Saccharomyces cerevisiae S288C: one gene and its partner. Changing the gene in region 2 together with the main gene of any one other region gives a genetic interaction. Each region holds a gene or a part of one and is shown on either strand. Other genes may lie near its edges.

The links.
Region 1: of MET30 (region 2) and SKP1, extra expression of one rescues a mutant of the other (dosage rescue), as found in Saccharomyces cerevisiae (3 studies listed by BioGRID).

Annotation. Positions count from the first base shown.
Region 1 is NC_001136.10:1,124,866-1,127,558, reverse strand, and holds SKP1 (SCF ubiquitin ligase subunit SKP1), read left to right. Parts: upstream 1-1,540; coding exon 1,541-2,125; downstream 2,126-2,693. Other genes in the region: PEX3 (Pex3p), read left to right, coding at 1-1,289; YSP2 (Ysp2p), read left to right, coding at 2,634-2,693.
Region 2 is NC_001141.2:266,620-271,075, forward strand, and holds MET30 (ubiquitin-binding SDF ubiquitin ligase complex subunit MET30), read left to right. Parts: upstream 1-2,031; coding exon 2,032-3,954; downstream 3,955-4,456. Other genes in the region: SYG1 (Syg1p), read right to left, coding at 1-1,204; YIL046W-A (uncharacterized protein), read left to right, coding at 1,690-1,854. UniProt on the Saccharomyces cerevisiae protein: Substrate-recognition component of the SCF(Met30) complex, an E3 ubiquitin ligase complex that mediates the ubiquitination and subsequent proteasomal degradation of target proteins. Negatively regulates sulfur amino acids biosynthesis genes expression.

The DNA of each region.
Region 1 (2,693 bases), on a different chromosome or scaffold from region 2:
GACATCGAGGAAAGGTACTCATTTCATTGACTGGAATAGCTGCTTTATTTACCACAGGGTCGGTGGTAGTGTTTTTCGTGAAGAGATGGTTGTATAAACAGCAGTTACGGATTACTGAGCAACACTTCATCAAAGAACAGATCAAAAGAAGGTTCGAGCAGACACAGGAAGACTCGTTGTACACAATATACGAGCTACTTCCTGTATGGAGAATGGTTTTGAATGAAAACGATTTGAATTTGGACAGCATCGTTACCCAATTAAAGGACCAAAAGAACCAGTTGACTAGAGCAAAGTCTAGTGAAAGCAGAGAAAGTTCGCCGTTAAAAAGTAAAGCTGAGTTGTGGAACGAGTTAGAACTAAAGAGTTTGATCAAGCTGGTGACAGTGACGTACACAGTATCGTCGCTGATTCTTTTAACAAGACTGCAACTAAATATCCTGACAAGAAACGAGTACCTGGACTCCGCAATAAAATTAACCATGCAGCAGGAAAACTGCAACAAACTACAGAATAGGTTCTATAACTGGGTTACATCGTGGTGGAGCGATCCGGAGGACAAAGCGGATGATGCAATGGTAATGGCAGCAAAAAAGTCAAAGAAAGAAGGCCAGGAAGTGTATATTAATGAGCAAGCTTTCCTATCACTATCATGGTGGATTCTTAACAAGGGGTGGTTGAGTTACAATGAAATAATTACAAATCAAATCGAAATTGAATTTGACGGCATACACCCAAGAGATACTCTAACGTTAGAAGAATTTAGTTCTCGTCTCACGAACATATTCCGGAACACGAATTCCCAAATATTCCAGCAAAATAATAATAACCTCACGTCTATTTTGCTTCCTAAAGATTCCAGTGGACAGGAGTTTCTTCTGTCACAGACGCTTGACGCGGATGCTTTAACAAGTTTTCACTCTAACACACTAGTTTTTAATCAATTGGTGAATGAACTGACCCAATGTATCGAAAGCACAGCAACATCCATAGTGTTAGAGTCTCTAATAAATGAATCATTCCATTTCATAATGAACAAGGTCGGCATAAAGACAATAGCCAAGAAAAAACCTGGCCAAGAAGATCAGCAACAGTATCAAATGGCAGTTTTCGCTATGTCGATGAAAGACTGTTGCCAAGAAATGCTTCAAACAACTGCCGGGTCTTCCCATAGCGGCAGCGTGAACGAATACCTGGCCACTCTGGATTCTGTGCAGCCGCTCGATGATCTGAGCGCCAGCGTATACAGCAACTTTGGCGTCTCCAGCTCGTTTTCCTTCAAGCCTTAATCTCTGAATAAGTACTGACACTCACACCAGAATATATATATATATAGCGTAATCTTTAATACAGTAAGTGTGCAATAGGTAACATGACATTACCCTGCAGCGATTTAACGGGCGTCTTGGAGAAAAGAAGAGAAAGGGAAGAAATAGGTTGATATATTGAGGGCAGAGAAAGTGATAGCCCAACGTTGGCAAAGATATAACAGAAAAGACGTTATAAACAATACAGGAATACTAACAAACGTAGCGCAGATATGGTGACTTCTAATGTTGTCCTAGTGAGTGGTGAGGGTGAACGATTCACCGTAGACAAGAAAATCGCGGAGAGATCCCTGCTATTGAAAAACTATCTGAACGATATGCATGACAGCAACCTACAAAACAACTCAGATTCAGAATCAGATTCAGACTCGGAAACGAACCACAAAAGCAAAGACAACAATAACGGTGACGACGACGATGAGGATGACGACGAGATTGTGATGCCCGTGCCCAATGTTCGGTCTTCCGTTTTGCAGAAGGTTATCGAATGGGCCGAGCACCACAGAGACTCTAACTTCCCTGACGAAGATGACGACGATTCCAGAAAGAGTGCTCCCGTGGACTCATGGGACAGAGAATTCCTGAAAGTGGACCAAGAGATGCTATACGAAATTATTCTGGCGGCAAACTACCTCAACATCAAGCCCTTGCTTGACGCTGGCTGCAAGGTGGTTGCTGAAATGATCAGGGGAAGGTCTCCCGAGGAAATTAGAAGAACGTTTAATATCGTCAACGACTTCACTCCAGAGGAGGAGGCTGCCATTAGGCGTGAAAATGAATGGGCTGAAGACCGTTAGCCTACATTTCCTCTGATGACTGTGATCCTTTCTTCCGATGATAATGCGCCATTTCAGAGCAAGATAGGCAAAAATAAGCAAACAAGGCTTGCTGTCATGCAATGTGTACGTTAGTCCACCATAACCAAGCATGTATGAATTATATATGTATACAGTTTACATAAACTTCAAACTACAATAAGATGTGTGGTCCATCGTCGTGTGTAGCGATAGGCGTCTTCTAAAAGCCGCAAAAGTGACAAGAAGAAAAAAGGAAAATTATTGAGTTATAAAAGCTATTGTTTACATGATGAGACGGGATAAATTTAGGACAGATAGCTGTAAACACTCCGTTTTGAATCATATTTGTGAAATATTTGGTCTAAATTTTAAGTCAAGTTTATTTTCTTCGAGCATTTCAACACCAGCTTAACCCTTTGCTTTAAATTATTCATCTAAAATAGGGTATATTGATTGCTAATCACATATAAATATATAGAAGCAGCAGCTGTACAGATATCCCTAACCAATGAGGGATGAAGCTACTCGCAAAAAAAGGTCATTTAGTGATGGTCATTTTTTCAAGAAA
Region 2 (4,456 bases):
GCACAATCGATCTGTTGTTTCTATGAACCATTTGTTCGGAGATAGAGTACTGAATGGTCAATTTCTTCAACTTATGGGTATTGTGCTTCCTGTCCTTAGGCGAATTGGTCAACGCAGTGGTGAACCACTCGGTGATCTGCGTTTCCAACCAAGTGATGGGCTCTTTGTCTCTTTGGGCGGAAGAGAGCTCCGAAGTGGGTGTTGGTTGCGAACTGGTTATTTGTTGCATCTTCTGTGCCACCAACTGCACGTTGGCATCCGCGTGCTTGAAAAGGGTGTAGTGGGTCCTGGCGTACGACATGAACGTGGTCAGCTCTCTTGTGTGACACGTTTTGTCGAATTTCTTGACCATTTTACGGAACCCGGTGACGTTGATATCCCGGAACGATTTGACCAATTGCAAGTACAGATAGTACTCGATTATAGCGTTGCTTAACAAGTTTCTAGCCTGGGTTGTCGTCATAGTCTCCAGAAAAGAAGCGCCAAAAGCAAACGTCTCGCGGCCTCTTGAGGACGCATCCTGTCTCAAGTCCTGTAGCAGAGAAAATCCACGTTTGGGCCACGATGGCAGCAGCCTATTGTCCTTAAGAACTTTCTGACAGTACGCTAGCAGCGACAAACGCGGCTTCTTGGCCTCTTTGGTGCAGGGCATTGACCCATACATAACAGACCGGCTATCGCTGTCGATGCTATTGACCCTGGAGTCAGAACGACCAGCAAGCCCTGCCGCATATAGACTCGTGGACATGTCAACATTCGAACTAGACCGGTTCAAGTTGTCGCGCTCATAATTCTTCTGCAGCGAGTAATAGTGCAGTTGCGACTGTAAAACCTCAAACTTCTTGTCGCACTCCTTTAGCAACCAAAGGTAAAACTCGTTACACTTACTCAACTGGAACGAGATCAACCAGTCTTCAATGAAGTCAGCAACGAACTCCCTCTGCAAAGCAGAATAGTCCTTCTTGAACGCAGGTCCGGAGCGATAGTCTCCGTCGCTGCGACTTTTGCCGGGCTCTCTCTGCTGAAATGCAGTCTGGTATACCGACACAGAGGGCATCCAGCTCCGGTAGGAGCTGGATTGCTCTTCTTCGGCATCCAGCTTCTCCTTGTAGCGGCGAAGCTTCTTCTTGCCGACCTTATAATCAATATATTTGTCCCTCCATTCCGGGATGGCAGACTCGGTTAGATGGTCAGCAAACTTCATCTGATACGGTGCTATGGTAAAGCCCTTCCATTGCTGCCAACTGAATTAAAAAAAAAAAAAAAATAACTACCAACCATCAAATCAAACAAAACAAAACAAAAAAGCAAAGGAGAAAACCCATCTTGTACATGTACAGTCCCAAACTGTTGCGAAACCGTGCGATGATGTTCATGGAACTTGCGTCAAATAAAACCGCATCCCGTCCCACGTGACAAACGGCACCCAAAATCCGTTCTAGAAATGCCTCACACCCACACCGATGATGGGCTTCCGACTCGATGACTACCAACACATAGCCAGCCGCAGCGGCTGGCAGCATGTGCATGATAATGATAAGTGATGATGAATGATGGTGATAACGATTTTGAACAAATGGCTGCAGCGATAGCAACTAAGGGGATGGAAAGACAGATCTGGGAGAGATAACTGCAGGGTGTGGCACGGCAACACAAGGCTATTGTATTGCACTAAACGGGCAAGAAGCCATGATGTGCGTCTGTATCCCAAAAAAAAAACTAATGGATTGGCGCGTGTACTATATATATTCATATGTCGTGTGTTTGTATATGTGTGGGAGTGATTGTGCGTGTATATGTGTGTTGGCGTGTGTGGTACAATGTGTGTGTTTTAATGTAGAAATGAGGTTGTAGCACGTGATCGGGAAGCCACAGTTTGCGCGGAGATATTTTATTTTTTTTCATCAGCGTAAGAAGAAAGCAACCTTGCAGTCTGTATCGTAAGAGAAGACTGCAGTTAAAGAAGTTTAGAGAAGAGGCTTGAGTATCGGTAAAGGGGTGTGTGTTTGGTGATTTATAAAGGAGAAGGGCATGAGGAGAGAGAGGCAAAGGATGATGAGTTTCGAGGACAAGGACAAGGACGACCTTGACAATAGTAATAGTAATAACAGCAGTGAAATGACAGATACGGCGATGATGCCACCATTAAAGAGATTGCTTATTACGGGCAGTAGCGATGATTTGGCACAAGGATCATCGGGTAAGAAGAAGATGACGATGGCGACGAGGTCGCCATCGTCATCACCCGATTTGGCGACAAACGACAGCGGCACTAGGGTACAGCCATTGCCAGAATATAACTTCACCAAGTTCTGCTATCGGCATAACCCGGACATTCAGTTCTCACCAACTCATACAGCGTGCTACAAGCAGGATTTGAAACGAACGCAAGAGATTAATGCTAATATCGCGAAGCTACCCCTGCAGGAGCAATCCGACATCCACCACATTATCTCGAAGTACAGCAATTCCAATGACAAGATACGGAAGCTGATTCTGGATGGGATCCTATCGACGAGTTGCTTCCCACAGCTTTCCTACATTTCGTCACTCGTTACACACATGATCAAGATCGACTTCATCAGCATTCTGCCGCAGGAGCTGTCGCTGAAGATCTTGAGTTATCTGGATTGCCAATCTCTTTGCAACGCCACGAGAGTGTGCCGCAAGTGGCAGAAGCTCGCGGATGACGACAGGGTATGGTACCACATGTGCGAGCAGCACATAGACAGGAAATGTCCCAACTGTGGCTGGGGGCTGCCTCTTTTGCACATGAAACGTGCGCGGATACAACAGAATAGTACAGGATCTAGCAGCAACGCAGATATCCAGACGCAAACTACGCGACCTTGGAAAGTCATCTACAGAGAACGGTTCAAAGTGGAGTCAAACTGGAGAAAGGGCCACTGCAGGATTCAGGAATTCAAGGGCCACATGGATGGTGTGTTAACGCTCCAGTTTAACTACAGGCTTTTGTTCACAGGCTCGTACGACTCCACCATAGGTATATGGGACTTATTCACGGGGAAGCTAATACGAAGGCTCAGCGGCCATTCGGACGGCGTCAAGACATTATATTTTGACGATAGAAAGCTGATTACGGGCTCGCTCGACAAGACGATCCGTGTTTGGAACTACATAACCGGTGAATGCATTTCCACGTATCGAGGCCACTCGGATAGCGTTCTGAGCGTAGATTCATACCAGAAGGTTATCGTTTCCGGCAGTGCTGACAAGACGGTCAAGGTATGGCACGTGGAGTCCAGGACATGCTACACCTTGAGAGGCCACACGGAATGGGTTAATTGCGTCAAATTGCATCCGAAAAGCTTTTCATGTTTTAGTTGCAGTGACGATACCACAATCCGAATGTGGGATATCAGGACCAATTCATGCCTAAAAGTGTTCAGGGGTCATGTAGGGCAGGTGCAAAAGATCATACCGCTTACCATTAAGGATGTAGAGAATCTAGCCACCGACAACACTTCTGATGGCAGCTCTCCGCAGGATGACCCAACAATGACTGATGGTGCAGACGAATCAGACACACCGTCGAACGAGCAAGAAACTGTCTTAGATGAAAACATACCTTATCCAACACATCTACTATCTTGCGGACTGGATAACACAATCAAACTATGGGACGTCAAAACCGGTAAATGCATAAGAACACAGTTTGGGCACGTGGAAGGTGTTTGGGACATCGCCGCTGACAACTTCAGAATTATAAGTGGTTCTCACGACGGAAGCATTAAGGTCTGGGACTTGCAAAGCGGGAAGTGTATGCACACGTTCAACGGTCGAAGACTACAAAGAGAAACTCAGCACACACAAACACAATCCTTGGGTGATAAAGTCGCCCCTATCGCTTGTGTTTGTATTGGAGATTCAGAATGCTTTAGTGGTGATGAATTTGGGTGCGTAAAAATGTACAAATTCGATCTCAATGATTAGGACCTGTGTGTGGTCTTTTCTTGGTCAAAAACATCCGTAGTACCTCGAATATATATGCTTACATATATAATGAAAAATACATAATAGCATTTTACATTTATTTTATTTCCAGGAAAAAAATAAATCGCTAGCGTATCACTAGCCTTTTCCATCTTCAGTTTTTTTCCTTCCTCTTTTTCGTCTCGATAAAACTCTTGACCATTAGATGCTATTACTCCCCCACGGAGCCCTTCCCACGCTAAGGGGGATGTCAAGGGGGGGACTGAAGATAAAGCTTATTATATTGACGGCGATGATGAAGAGGGCGTACGCATAAAATGTCGTACAAGATCCATAATCTGCAATATTGTTCCCTCAACAGTACTAATAAATCCAAAGGGCGAAGGTACTTTATTATATAAACGCGCACGGCCATTGTATATAAAGGCGATTACATAATAGAATACTTATCGATTCCGTAATCCTTGAAATATAGAATATACATAAAATAGACAAGAACCCA